Linked DNA regions of Lepisosteus oculatus. The protein of the gene in region 1 binds, or shares a complex with, the protein of each later gene. Links are inferred from orthologs where the notes say so. Each region holds a gene or a part of one and is shown on either strand. Other genes may lie near its edges. The genes, in order: cul3b, klhl12 and klhl21.

What was found.
Region 2: cul3b (region 1) and klhl12 share a complex: the UniProt entries of both Homo sapiens proteins name them as parts of the BCR(KLHL12) E3 ubiquitin ligase complex. The link is inferred for Lepisosteus oculatus from reciprocal best matches to the Homo sapiens genes CUL3 and KLHL12.
Region 3: cul3b (region 1) and klhl21 share a complex: the UniProt entries of both Homo sapiens proteins name them as parts of the BCR(KLHL21) E3 ubiquitin ligase complex. The link is inferred for Lepisosteus oculatus from reciprocal best matches to the Homo sapiens genes CUL3 and KLHL21.

The regions. Positions count from the first base shown.
Region 1 is NC_090708.1:6,829,548-6,833,300, reverse strand, and holds the start of cul3b (cullin-3b), read right to left. Parts: upstream 2,795-3,753; 5' UTR 2,415-2,794; coding exon 2,352-2,414; intron 1-2,351. UniProt on the Homo sapiens protein: Core component of multiple cullin-RING-based BCR (BTB-CUL3-RBX1) E3 ubiquitin-protein ligase complexes which mediate the ubiquitination and subsequent proteasomal degradation of target proteins.
Region 2 is NC_090700.1:30,400,580-30,404,332, forward strand, and holds the start of klhl12 (kelch-like protein 12), read right to left. Parts: upstream 2,282-3,753; 5' UTR 1,975-2,281; intron 729-1,974; 5' UTR 690-728; coding exon 609-689; intron 1-608. UniProt on the Homo sapiens protein: Substrate-specific adapter of a BCR (BTB-CUL3-RBX1) E3 ubiquitin ligase complex that acts as a negative regulator of Wnt signaling pathway and ER-Golgi transport.
Region 3 is NC_090720.1:9,156,584-9,160,336, forward strand, and holds the start of klhl21 (kelch-like protein 21), read right to left. Parts: upstream 2,731-3,753; 5' UTR 2,499-2,730; exon of another isoform or gene 2,149-2,498; intron 1-2,148. Other genes in the region: thap3 (THAP domain-containing protein 3), read left to right, coding at 2,731-2,855, 3,715-3,753. UniProt on the Homo sapiens protein: Substrate-specific adapter of a BCR (BTB-CUL3-RBX1) E3 ubiquitin-protein ligase complex required for efficient chromosome alignment and cytokinesis.

The DNA.
Region 1 (3,753 bases):
TCCAAAACTGGGTTTGGGAAAACCTAGTTTAAATGACAGAACACCAATCGGTAATTTATATGTCACATCTTGATTTTAAAATGCTTCCTTTAAAATACAATTAGAACACAGAGGTATTATGTATTGATAATTTATCACAGGCTTTGATCAATATGAAATCAGACACTGCAGTCATCGGTTCCCTTGACAGGTTAACACTGGAATTATGCTGTATGAACTGTCATCTAGTCATCTATTAGAACCATATTCAATTAAAAGCCTAGAAAAATTATTCTGTGGCAATAATTCTATGATAAATGACTGAAAATCATTTCATTCTGCATGTGTGTTCCCAATACTCTGTAGGAGTACAGCACTCATTTTACACTACAGCATAAGAGAGTACAAGAGGAACATATGGCAACTACAACCATAGGACATTATGGTACCGGTGTTACGAAGAAACTATGGACCATCCTTACACTGGTCAGCATAAACGTAGCTCACCAAGACTAGGTGTATGGAAAGAGAATAATGGAGTGGGTGTTGCATTTTACTACCACTTGAAAACATTTCAAGTGTCAGATGATGTGAGCAGGCCTGATTCACTGACATTTCGACTAAGATGATGTGTTGCCCTAAATAACTGTGTTGACTGAAACAGCACAGATCAGACACCCTTGGGATGGGAACTGGCAAGACTGTGATACCTCCTATTAGGTTTTTCTCATCCAGGAATGGACTAGGATACCCCCTGCCAAGATCACTTAAAATGCAACCTGTGATACCCACTGGTAAATATCTACACAGCAGATATCGGAGGACTAATCCTTCCACTTCCAAGGCAATTCTGCGTGAAGCCAACTCACTGCTGGACAACTGCTTTGACATTTAGTTTTCAGTACATCTTAAGCAGTTACAAGCAATTACAGTCAGGTATAATGTATCAACATAGCTTCAACCCCCTGATATGTTGTATTTTTTAATAAGCACCTTAAGATGTTAAGACTAATAATTTTTACATAATTTTCAGCCTTGATCTACAAAAGAGAGGTCAAAAGTATGAGATTAAAACAGTTAATTATAGACAGAAACAGCAAGATGTTTCTGCAAAAAGTGAAATGCAGGACCACCTAGTATCTGTTTTAAAACAATTTGCCACTGAAGTATTTTTTTTAAAGGAGCAGGCAATGAGCAATTCAGCAAATCACTGATTAGCAAGGAAAACAACTTACAAGGGCTGCACACGAATCAGGACATGACTTATGAACTGCAGTTACAGGCCAGTCCTTACACTTGCTTATCATATGGGCTTTCCTGAGGTATAAAGACAACTTTGGCATGCTAGGATCATCAAATAACTACATGTCCCTAACCCAACGAAAAGAGGGTCTCCTGAAGGAAGACATGTTAGAGACAATATCTGATGACAGATTTCCAGTGTTTTTCTAGAGTCCACAAAACGATCGAGCTTCCCAAAACTAACGACATCATTTCACACCTTGATTTACATACATGACATCAAGGCATCTTTTCACCTTACTATTGCTTTACTAACACCATTAGTAGTGACTCATTTTATGAAACATGACTCTCCTGACCACCTAGATTTTTATGAGATTATCGTTCATTTCTTTTAATTCGACGTATACGCCATGAAATATCCTTATTTTAGTTGTTCTTTTAACAATGCGAGTCATTACGACGTTTGACAACGCTTATGCATTCAAACCTCAGTATTAAACAATTTTATCGGACAGTCAGGCCTACACACTGCTGTGAAACTAATTTACTCACTGCGACAACCATGTCGCGGAACATGTTCTTGTTTTGGCAACTGTACTGACTTCACAGAGCGGATGATTTAGTACTTTTTGTTACGTTCCGGGTGTGAAGTTCACCTTGCTAAACATGCAATTAGTTCTGCTAACTTACCTGAAATCAGAAAGAGAAACAACCTCATTTTTGTTGTCGTAAGGCTTAATGCTGTGGCTATGAAATAGCTATATGCCATCACGATCTATAATGAAAATAAAACTTCCTGAACTACTGAAATGTTAGCTACCATTTCCCCCCTGCCGATTTGCTCACTGACCTATTAATGTGTCAAAAATGAAGGCCTCACTAACAACAAAGATTTAACGTCGGACTGTAAATTCACTCCTCTGTTCCCAGACATTACTTTTTACTTAAGAGGGGGAAAAAGGCATTTCAAGATCGTGTACACGAGCAAGGTTTCAGTAGCTCGCGTATTTTCAAAGCCTTTGTTTACTAACTGGGAGGCCTGATTTTCGCCATTCCCTGACCGAATCCCCGGCGCTCGAGTCTCCTCGCCCGCCCGCTTAGGTGCCCCGTCCCCGGCTACTACTCACAGGAAAGGCTCGTATCCTCATCTTGGTGTCCTTCTTGGTGCCGCCTTTGCTTAGATTGGACATGTTTGGATCGCGTCTGTTTCTTTATTTACATTAAAGACTACGTGGGCAGCTGCGGGAAAATGTGCCGACGGGAATGCCGTTTAGCCCCCTCGACCTCTCCGGCGTGTCTACGTCCCTCTTTCTGGGCTGGTATTGTCACTCCGCCGCCGCCGCCACTCCAAGTGCTCGGCTCTTTCTGCACAGTGATGGCGGACAAACAGCTCTCAGTGCGCAGGGCTACCCCACACCGAAACTCGCGCGAGATAAAGGTAGAGGGGAAAAAAATCTGCGGGAGACAAAAACACACCATTAAAGCCATGCGCTGCGTCGATGCAGCATATTAACCTTTAACGTGAGTTTCACGCCTCCGGGTGTCTGCCGTAGGAAAGGTGAACCGTGAGGCGAGGAACGCGATCTTAGAGGCGCACGCACAGTAAAGGGAAGCTAGTTAAGAAAATAAAAGTTGGGGGGGAACCTGATGTCACGGTTGAGTGTTTCAGAATATGATGATCCGCAAAGAAAAGGCAGGAGAATATAATAACGGGCACACTTTTGTACTCACTCTCATACGGTGGCACTTAACATGTTTGTTACCAATGTTTTGTCAACAAACTTCTTGGGGCCAGAAATGCGACGTACATTCAGATTCCGTTCCTATTCATGTAGTTGTACATGAATAATAATAATAATAATAATAATAATAATAATAATAATTGCTTACACTTATATTGCACTTTTCTGGACACTCCACTCAAAGCGCTTTACAGGTAAAGGGGACTCCCCTCCATCACCACCAATGTGCAGCATCCACCTGGATGAAGTCAACGCCTTGACATTAAAAATATTACACACAACTGCAGTCCTGTTACCTATATGCCATCTCTTGCCAAAATTCTTGAATTGGTCAATCAATAGCTCAGATGCCTGTGTTATGATCTGTTTGAAGCTTCTCTGAGTCTGAGTCTGAGTTTGGAGAGAGACTTGTTATGGTGGGTATTGACTTGATGGTTTCAGTCTCTAGGTCACTTAATTTTCTTTTTTATTCTGGTCCCAAGTGCAGTTTTGTCTGTCAGTTACACTATGGCACTCTACAAGAGCATATGGCCCAAAAATTCCCATTGGCCCTTACCAATCATGGCCTCCTAATAATCCCCCTCTATGAATTGGCTTCATTACTCTGCTCTCCTCCCCACTGATAACTGGTGTGTGGTGAGCATTCTGGCGCACTATGGCTGCCGTCGCATCATCAAGGTGGATGCTGCACATTGGTGGTGGTGGAGGGGAGTCCCCATTACCTGTAAAGCTCTTTGAGTGGAGTGTCCACAAAAGTGCTATATAAGTGTAAGCAATTGTTAACTAA
Region 2 (3,753 bases), on another chromosome or scaffold:
CTGGTGTGTGGTGAGCATACTAGCGCTCTACAGCTGCTGATGCATCATCAAGGTGGTGCTACACATTGGTGGTGGAGGGGAGTTCCCTTTATCTGTATTGCATTTTGAGTGGAGTGTCCAGAAAAGCGCTATATAAGTGTATGGAATTATTATTAGTAATAGACGTAGTACACTGGCTGAAGATACTATCCTTCACAAGAGACATTAAGCTGGTCATTAACGATCCTACTGCACTTTTTGAAAAAGTAGGGTGTTGTATCAGTACCCTGGCTAAATTTCACTCTTTGATTGTACAGTGTGGCTTTGCAAAAGTTCCCCGTGAATGTAGCTAGAAGTAATTTCTCGTTTCCCACCTCATCGACTGTTTAGCAGCACCACTGACAGAGAACAGCGGCCACACTCACTCAGATGGGAACTACTCATTAATGATGGATGAAAAAACGGGGTTCCCTCCTACACGTAAAGTGCTTAGGGGACTTTTGGGATTAAAAGTGCAATATAAATGCAAGGAAATTTTATTAATACTCTTTTAAATACCACATACAGGTATATACAAATTACATAAAATAGGTTTTGAGAAAAACAGTGGCAGTGGTAAGAATTGCTACCTCGTGGAGCTGTGGCCCTGGGTTCAGCTCTGGACGTGGGGTGCTGTCTGCGTGGAATTTGTATGTTCTCCGTCTGTTCATGTGTGTTTCCTCAGGGTGCTTCCGTTTCCTCCCGGTTTCCTCCAACAGTCCAAAGACAATTAACTTGTAGGTTAATTGGCTTCTGAGAAAACTGGCCCTAATGTGAGTGTATGTCTGTTTGCCCTGTGATGGACAGGTGTCCATTCAGGGTGTAATCCTGCCTTGTGCCTGTTACAGAGATAAACTCTGGCTCCCCCACGACTTTGAAGTGGAAGAAGCCATTAGAAAACGGATGAACGGAGGAACGTTTTTCCAGAAAAGCATTCTTGCCTTAGCTGGTACTGTCAGACGTCGTGTTATCTAGGTGAATTTTTTTATTTAAATAATTTGAAAACAATCAAAAATTCCATAAGAAAATAGCCACTGGCTATCTCTAGTAACCGTTTACAGTATAAACTACAGTACATTGTTTCCAAGGAACTAATTGTAACTAAGGAAGTGCACTACTCCAGCGCATGAGCAGTACCATTGTGGACGTCCATGGCCACTGATCCTTGGTTGTCATGCCAACAAAGGTCAGGGGTCAAAAGTGATACGTCACAAAATTTCGTTCAACGAAATAAACATCGACGTCCTTGAGTTCACGAAATGAGCAGTGACAAAACACAAACGGTATTCCGCTTCGAGCGCACGACTTGAATATCAATTTGCGATATTCGTATACAAAATAAACATGTTTTTGTCTAAAAATTGAAAGTCTGTATGTCATTATATGGGTAGAGTAACACAACTGTCTTTTGTGGGTACAATGAAAGTTGTTAGTTTTTCATTTCGTGTTGTGCAAAACAAAAATCAATTATGTAATACATTTCATGTTGGGAGTGTAATACGACAAACGGCGCCCTTCAGTCCTGGGTACCCCACGACAAGTACAATCGGGCATCCGGGTCACCCTGCAGCTCACGGCCGATCGATTTCACAAAGCTTTGCTGCTAATGCTGGTCCGAAAAGCACCAGTTAACATTGCAGTTTAACTTTACAGTGTGCCAAATACGTATTGTGCACAGACCCGTATCTGACCGCACGATTTAAGAATGATTTACTAAGAGAATCCTATTCGAGCACGAGGTATCATTACGAACAGAATATGAATCCAGTGCTTACAAGATGCAAAATACTGAGGTATATTATATTTATTTTCCTAGCCGGTGGACATGTTTATAACAACCAGATCACTTCAAGGGGTCAAATGCAACAGCCCGTTATATGATTTTAGAGGTCAACAAGCTCAGATGTAATGTTATTTGAATGCAGTGTACTTTATTGCGGACAAAACGTTATTTACCAGCAGATGAGACGCTCCGGTGATTTGCACAGTTACAACCCCCAGCAAAGACGCTCCATACTCCGGCGTATCCGTCACTCCCACACCGCGGTTCTTCTCCGCGGCCCGCGTCTGTTGGGATCTTTCTAACTAAAATCAAGTGTTACCGAAACAAACGTCCAGGTTTCTAATCCTCTAAAAACAAGATAGTTTGGTTAGCTCGTAACTGTATTCAAAATCCCCACAGTCACACAGTTTTCATGATTAGCACTGTGCTATCCAGGAAGATAAAAGTCCCAGGTACCAGTTGCAAACACAACACAATGACGTCATGGTCACACACAAGGTCCACACGCCCGAGGATTCCCACGGCCGTGAACGCGCCTTCTTTTCTCTATTAAAAATGCTTAAACTGCTATTTAATGTAAAGAATCTGTGTATAAAATCACAGTTATGTTGCAGTTTACATAAATGTGTAATACATTTACGTGATAGCAGGTAATTATTTGTACGAGTATTTACATATTTAAGAATTTGTTTTGACATTATTGTTTTATTTTGGCTTTTCAATAACCCCAAAAGGCCCCCTTCCTGCCGCTTTCACAGTTCTTGTGGAGTATGGAATTAGAAATTAGCTGAAACACTAAGACAGATGTTTCAGATCATGGAAAAAAAATATTATGAGGTGACGGTTAACTGCAGTGTTTTTGTTTTCACCGGTTTATTTAAATAAAGACAGCGTGTTCATTACTGGAACAAAAAAGCAAAGGACACAGGGGTAGTTCCCAAACCGGGGCTGAGAATCACAGCTCCAGCTGCTGCTGTTAGTGGTGTTGTTGGGCCAGTAGGTGGTGTTCTTCCATCCTGACCACTGTTCAAAAACCAAGGTCCCAGTACGATTGGGATGATGATCGGGGACACCGTGCTGCAGGAGGTGCTGGTCTTCGGGTGATACATTAATCTGAGGTAACGACTTTGTTTAGTAGGGGTGTCAGTTCTGGTGTCCTGCTTACTTCTACCCTGGGCTTGTACCATGTAGCTTACCCTGTATCTTCCCTTAATTCAGTCGAAGCAGTTTCTCATTTCTCCCCCTGACCAGCTGTGCAGTGGGACTGCTGGTGCCGACCAGTGGTGCCTCTCAGGTGGGGGCTGTGCTTCAATGCTGGAGGAAGAGGGGGCCTATTTCTTTATAAAGAACTTTGGAATTCTTTAGGATGGAGAGCAATAGTAGAATGCAGCTTTGGGCTGTGTAATTATTTCAGAACCTTGTTAAGTACTTGCCATACCTACACGAGATGCCAAAAAATAAAAAGAGGCACAGCTCATCTTGCAGCAGAATCATGCTTTCCTTTCAGCAGATGAGGCTGCATTATGATTTGTAATTGTAAATCTTTGACAAGGAAAAGGATATGACGAAAACCCAATGCCCTGAGGTTGGGAGGCAGAGGCTGGGAGTTTAACATGTAAAGAGTAACAAAATAATCCATACATTTTCTAACGGCTTCTAACAATTCGGGATTGCAGGGGAGCCAGAACCTAACCTGGCATAAAACTGGTGCAAGGCAGGATATACCCTGGACAGGAAACCAGCCAATCACAGGGCACGCACAGAGACAAGTACACACACAGTCCCACCAGGGCCAATTTTCCCAGAAGCCAATGAACCTACCCGTATATTTTTTGGACTCTGGGAAGAAACTAGAGTGCCCAAAGGAAACTCACACAAACACAGAGAGAACATGCAAACTCCACACAGATAGCACCCCGGGTCCAGAATTGAGACCAGAGAACCCCATCCTA
Region 3 (3,753 bases), on another chromosome or scaffold:
GCCTGGGTCACATAGCTAGTGTGAAAACGGCAGCAGTAGACACTGGTCAACGCCAGCTTGTGTAAATATGTGTATTCTACTGTAAAAACAAAAAGGAAATCTAATTTACCAAAGGAAAACGAGTTTGTTCCCTCTTTATGTTTTTTTAAAAACATTTAATTTAATTTGGAACTGGTTATTTGAAAGTGTCAGAGACCGCAGGAATGTAAGCGGTCGGCTTTTGCGAGGGAACTGAACAGTGGCACAGAGGAGAAGGCTGTTTCTATGAAACTCTGTAAATTGTAAAATATGTTGTAAATAAAGATCTAACTATTGATTATTTTAAATCGGCATCTGAAGCTCTGGTATTACTTTTTGGACTTCTTTTTCTTTTGAACGTTGTGAAATCCGGAATAAAAAAAGATGTTACTTTTTTTAAACAAATAAATTTGGTATTCTCAGTTGTTCATTGCACCTCCATGATTTGGGCTATGTGATTGTTGATCACCTGCAGCATTACCACGTAAGGAGAGAGGGCTGTGGGTCTTCTGCCACGCACACTGTGGGGTCTCTTGCCCTTCTGTGCTCCTGTAGCAGATTAATACCCGTGACAAGGGTGGTGCCTCTCTGTGTTGTGCCAACAAAATCGGCAGCACCTCGAGGCGGGTGGTTCCCAAATCTGTTCCTGCAAGTTTCTAGGCTTCTCAAACTTCAAAACAACCTTGCACCTGGCTGAAGGGTTAAAGTGATCCCGTTAAGATTTAATGTGACCAGTTAATCCTTTCCCAGCTGCCTGGAGCTGCTGATTTTTTAAAGAGACACAGACAACCTGCTGGAGTGGTGGTTCCCATTTGTGGTCTTGGGGTACCCCTGTGTCTGCTGGGCTCTTAACTGGCGTCTGTAACAGACTGACTCGTTAGTTCAGGCCAGGTGATCAGTTGAAAAATCGACACAGGCCGACTCATTGTTGGAGTTTCCTGATGCAGTTTTTTTCCCTACTGCTTAAGTCCAGATGGTTATATTTCAGCCAGCACACCTGACTGGGGTCAGCCCTGAAACGTACTGATTAGCACAAGGTCCATATACCAGCTACTAATGCCACTCGGCTTTTCAAGAGCTGGAAATCCATTTTAAAAGGGTCTCAAAGAGAAAATTGAAATAAGAGAGATTTGAAGTCCTGTGATTAAGGACTTGACAAGGTTAGTAAGGACCAAGACGGGGAACGCATTTCCGATCGCGAAACTTGGCAGCCTTTGTCAGTGCATTTCCTCAACACCGAAACTGTGCTCAAAGCAGACCTTGACTCTGCACCAATAACAGCTGATGCCGAGATGTATTTGAATGAAGAGATTCAGCTGTACAGTTCAGATACCTAATGTAATAAACACTAGTATTGGAGCAGGCAGGCAAGAGCTGGAAACCAGCGGCACCTTAGCTTTCCAGCAAGGCTGACTGGTCATGCCTCTTCGGGACTGTTCTGTAACATTTACCCCGCGGGTCTCAGACTCAGCAGAATCCTCTGGGCTCTGTTTCACTGGGGCACTCTGTTACAGAGCGGGTCTAATCATTCACCGAAACGCAGAACTGCGATATCACGGCCATGATTTGACAGGTTTTAAAAGGTACTATCTTTACTGGCGTAAATGTTTTGAAGGTTTGACAGTAAGACACCTCGAGAAACCTTAATTGTGGAAACAGCTAATCAATTACATTTATTGTTCAGTTTGACCAACTATGTTGGAACATAAACCCGAAGATACCAAGACCGTCTAGGAATCGAAACTGCTTTACAATAAGGTTCCCTCATTTTTCATTCTTTCTTTTTGTAAGATCCCAGTCGGTTTTTGATCACTGTCACTTAGAGCTTTGTCACAGCATAGAGGCAAAACATTGCTGGAACAGAGATCTCTTGCCTTTATCCTGGAGAGCTCTTTGGTCTCCTGGGTTTTCAACCGAGCTCTTAATGACAGAAAACCACATTTTCTACCCAATCAGACAAGAACATGATTAAAATACCGTAGGTGTGGTTCCCCATTATCACTTGTAACAGAAACGCAGTGCAATCTTCGGTTATATACAGACCTCAGCTGAGAACGTACTGTATTGTGTCTTGGTTTTCTATTACTGCCCCTGCTGTGACTACAGATGAATACAACAGTGTGAGAGTGAATTACACACAAGTTCAGTGGTCCCACTCAACAGCCACCAACTCCGCCACTCTTATAATGACAGAGAGGTTATGGGCTACGCTGTGAGACCCAGACCCATCTGCCGGCTGAGATCTTATTCGGGGAACCTTGCGGAAAACACCGAAGCCCGTCGGCCATCTTGGTTTCGGGATGTTTTCCGACCTGGCAGGCTAGTCATCTGTTCGTGTGAGAGCGGAGCAATGCCCCACTCCCGGAGTCACACTTTCAACGACGCGCTACCCGCTGTGAGGAAGAGCTGACGAGGCCGAGAAAAAAAAAATGTGGATGTTTTAAGAAATTCAGCTCACCGACGAGGACGGTGAAACCTACCGCGTAAGCAGACGCGCCTTCCGAAACGCAGTTTGGGAGATGGGATTGAAAACTGGAGTGTCCGCGCACTTCTGTTTTACACTTCTGCGAGAAACAAAAACACACTCATAACCGAGGACACCCCGCCGAAGGGTTGACTTGTTGTAATTTCCTGTCTCTTTTTTTCCCAGCCTCCGGCTTTTCGCTCTGACTGAGGGGCGACGGCTCAGCTCGGGTGCTGCCCCCAGTTGGAATGCTGGCCGCCATCTTTGTTTGGGGCAGAGAGAGCACTGCGCGTAAAGACATGCCGAAGAGTTGCTCTGCTTACAACTGTACCAACAGGTACAGCAGCAAGAACCCGGATCTCACCTTCCACAGGTACAGCTGTTTTCCTGATTGTATTCACAGTAATCCACAGCACTGCCGCACTCACACTTCTGATAGCGAGAGCAATCAAGAATCTGCTTCAAGCTGATTTTTTTCCACCCTCAGCTTCTGTCCTCGCTGTCTCCCAGTTCCTCCGAGCCAGGACAGCAGGAGTGTCTGTTAATTATTAAATTAAGTCCTCGGTTTGTTCAGCGCGGGCTAACCTCTTTACTGCGCTGTGTGTGAAGTTGTTCGGACGTCCAGTGTTGAATAAGATACTTTTTTTGTTTTTACCCATTGCATATCTTTATCTGGGAAAGATACATTAATTCAGTGATCTCACGGTATGGGTTTGTGTTGAGTATATAGGAGAGATGTAGGAGTTTTCGAAGTGGTGTGTAGGGAAGTATTATGTGTAAGAAGTGCACAAAATGGAACAGGTTCACATATGGTTGCGTGGCCTTGTGTCCGTCTGGGCTGTTATTATTTTACTGCATATTATTTATGATTGTCATCGTTATTAATATTGACAAGAGGGCGACACAGTGCTGTAGTGGTTAGCAAGGCTACATCACAGTGCTGGGGGCCCTGGGTTCAATTTCAGACCCCCGGCTGCTGTCCGTGTGGAGTTTGCATGGCCTTCTGGTGTTCGCATGGGCTTCCTCGGGGTGCTCCAGTTTTTCCCACACACTGGTAGGGTTAGTTGGCTTCTGGGAAGATAGCCCTGGTGAGACCCTGTGTGTTGGTGCCTGTGTGTGCCCTATGTTGGACTGGCGCCCTGTCAAGGGTGAACCCTGCCTTGTATAAGGGGTTAGAAGACAGATGGATGGATGATTTCCAATGCCTCACCCTGGCGCTCCCTCCCTGGCAGGTTTCCCTTCAGTAAACCCCACGTGCTGAAGGAGTGGCT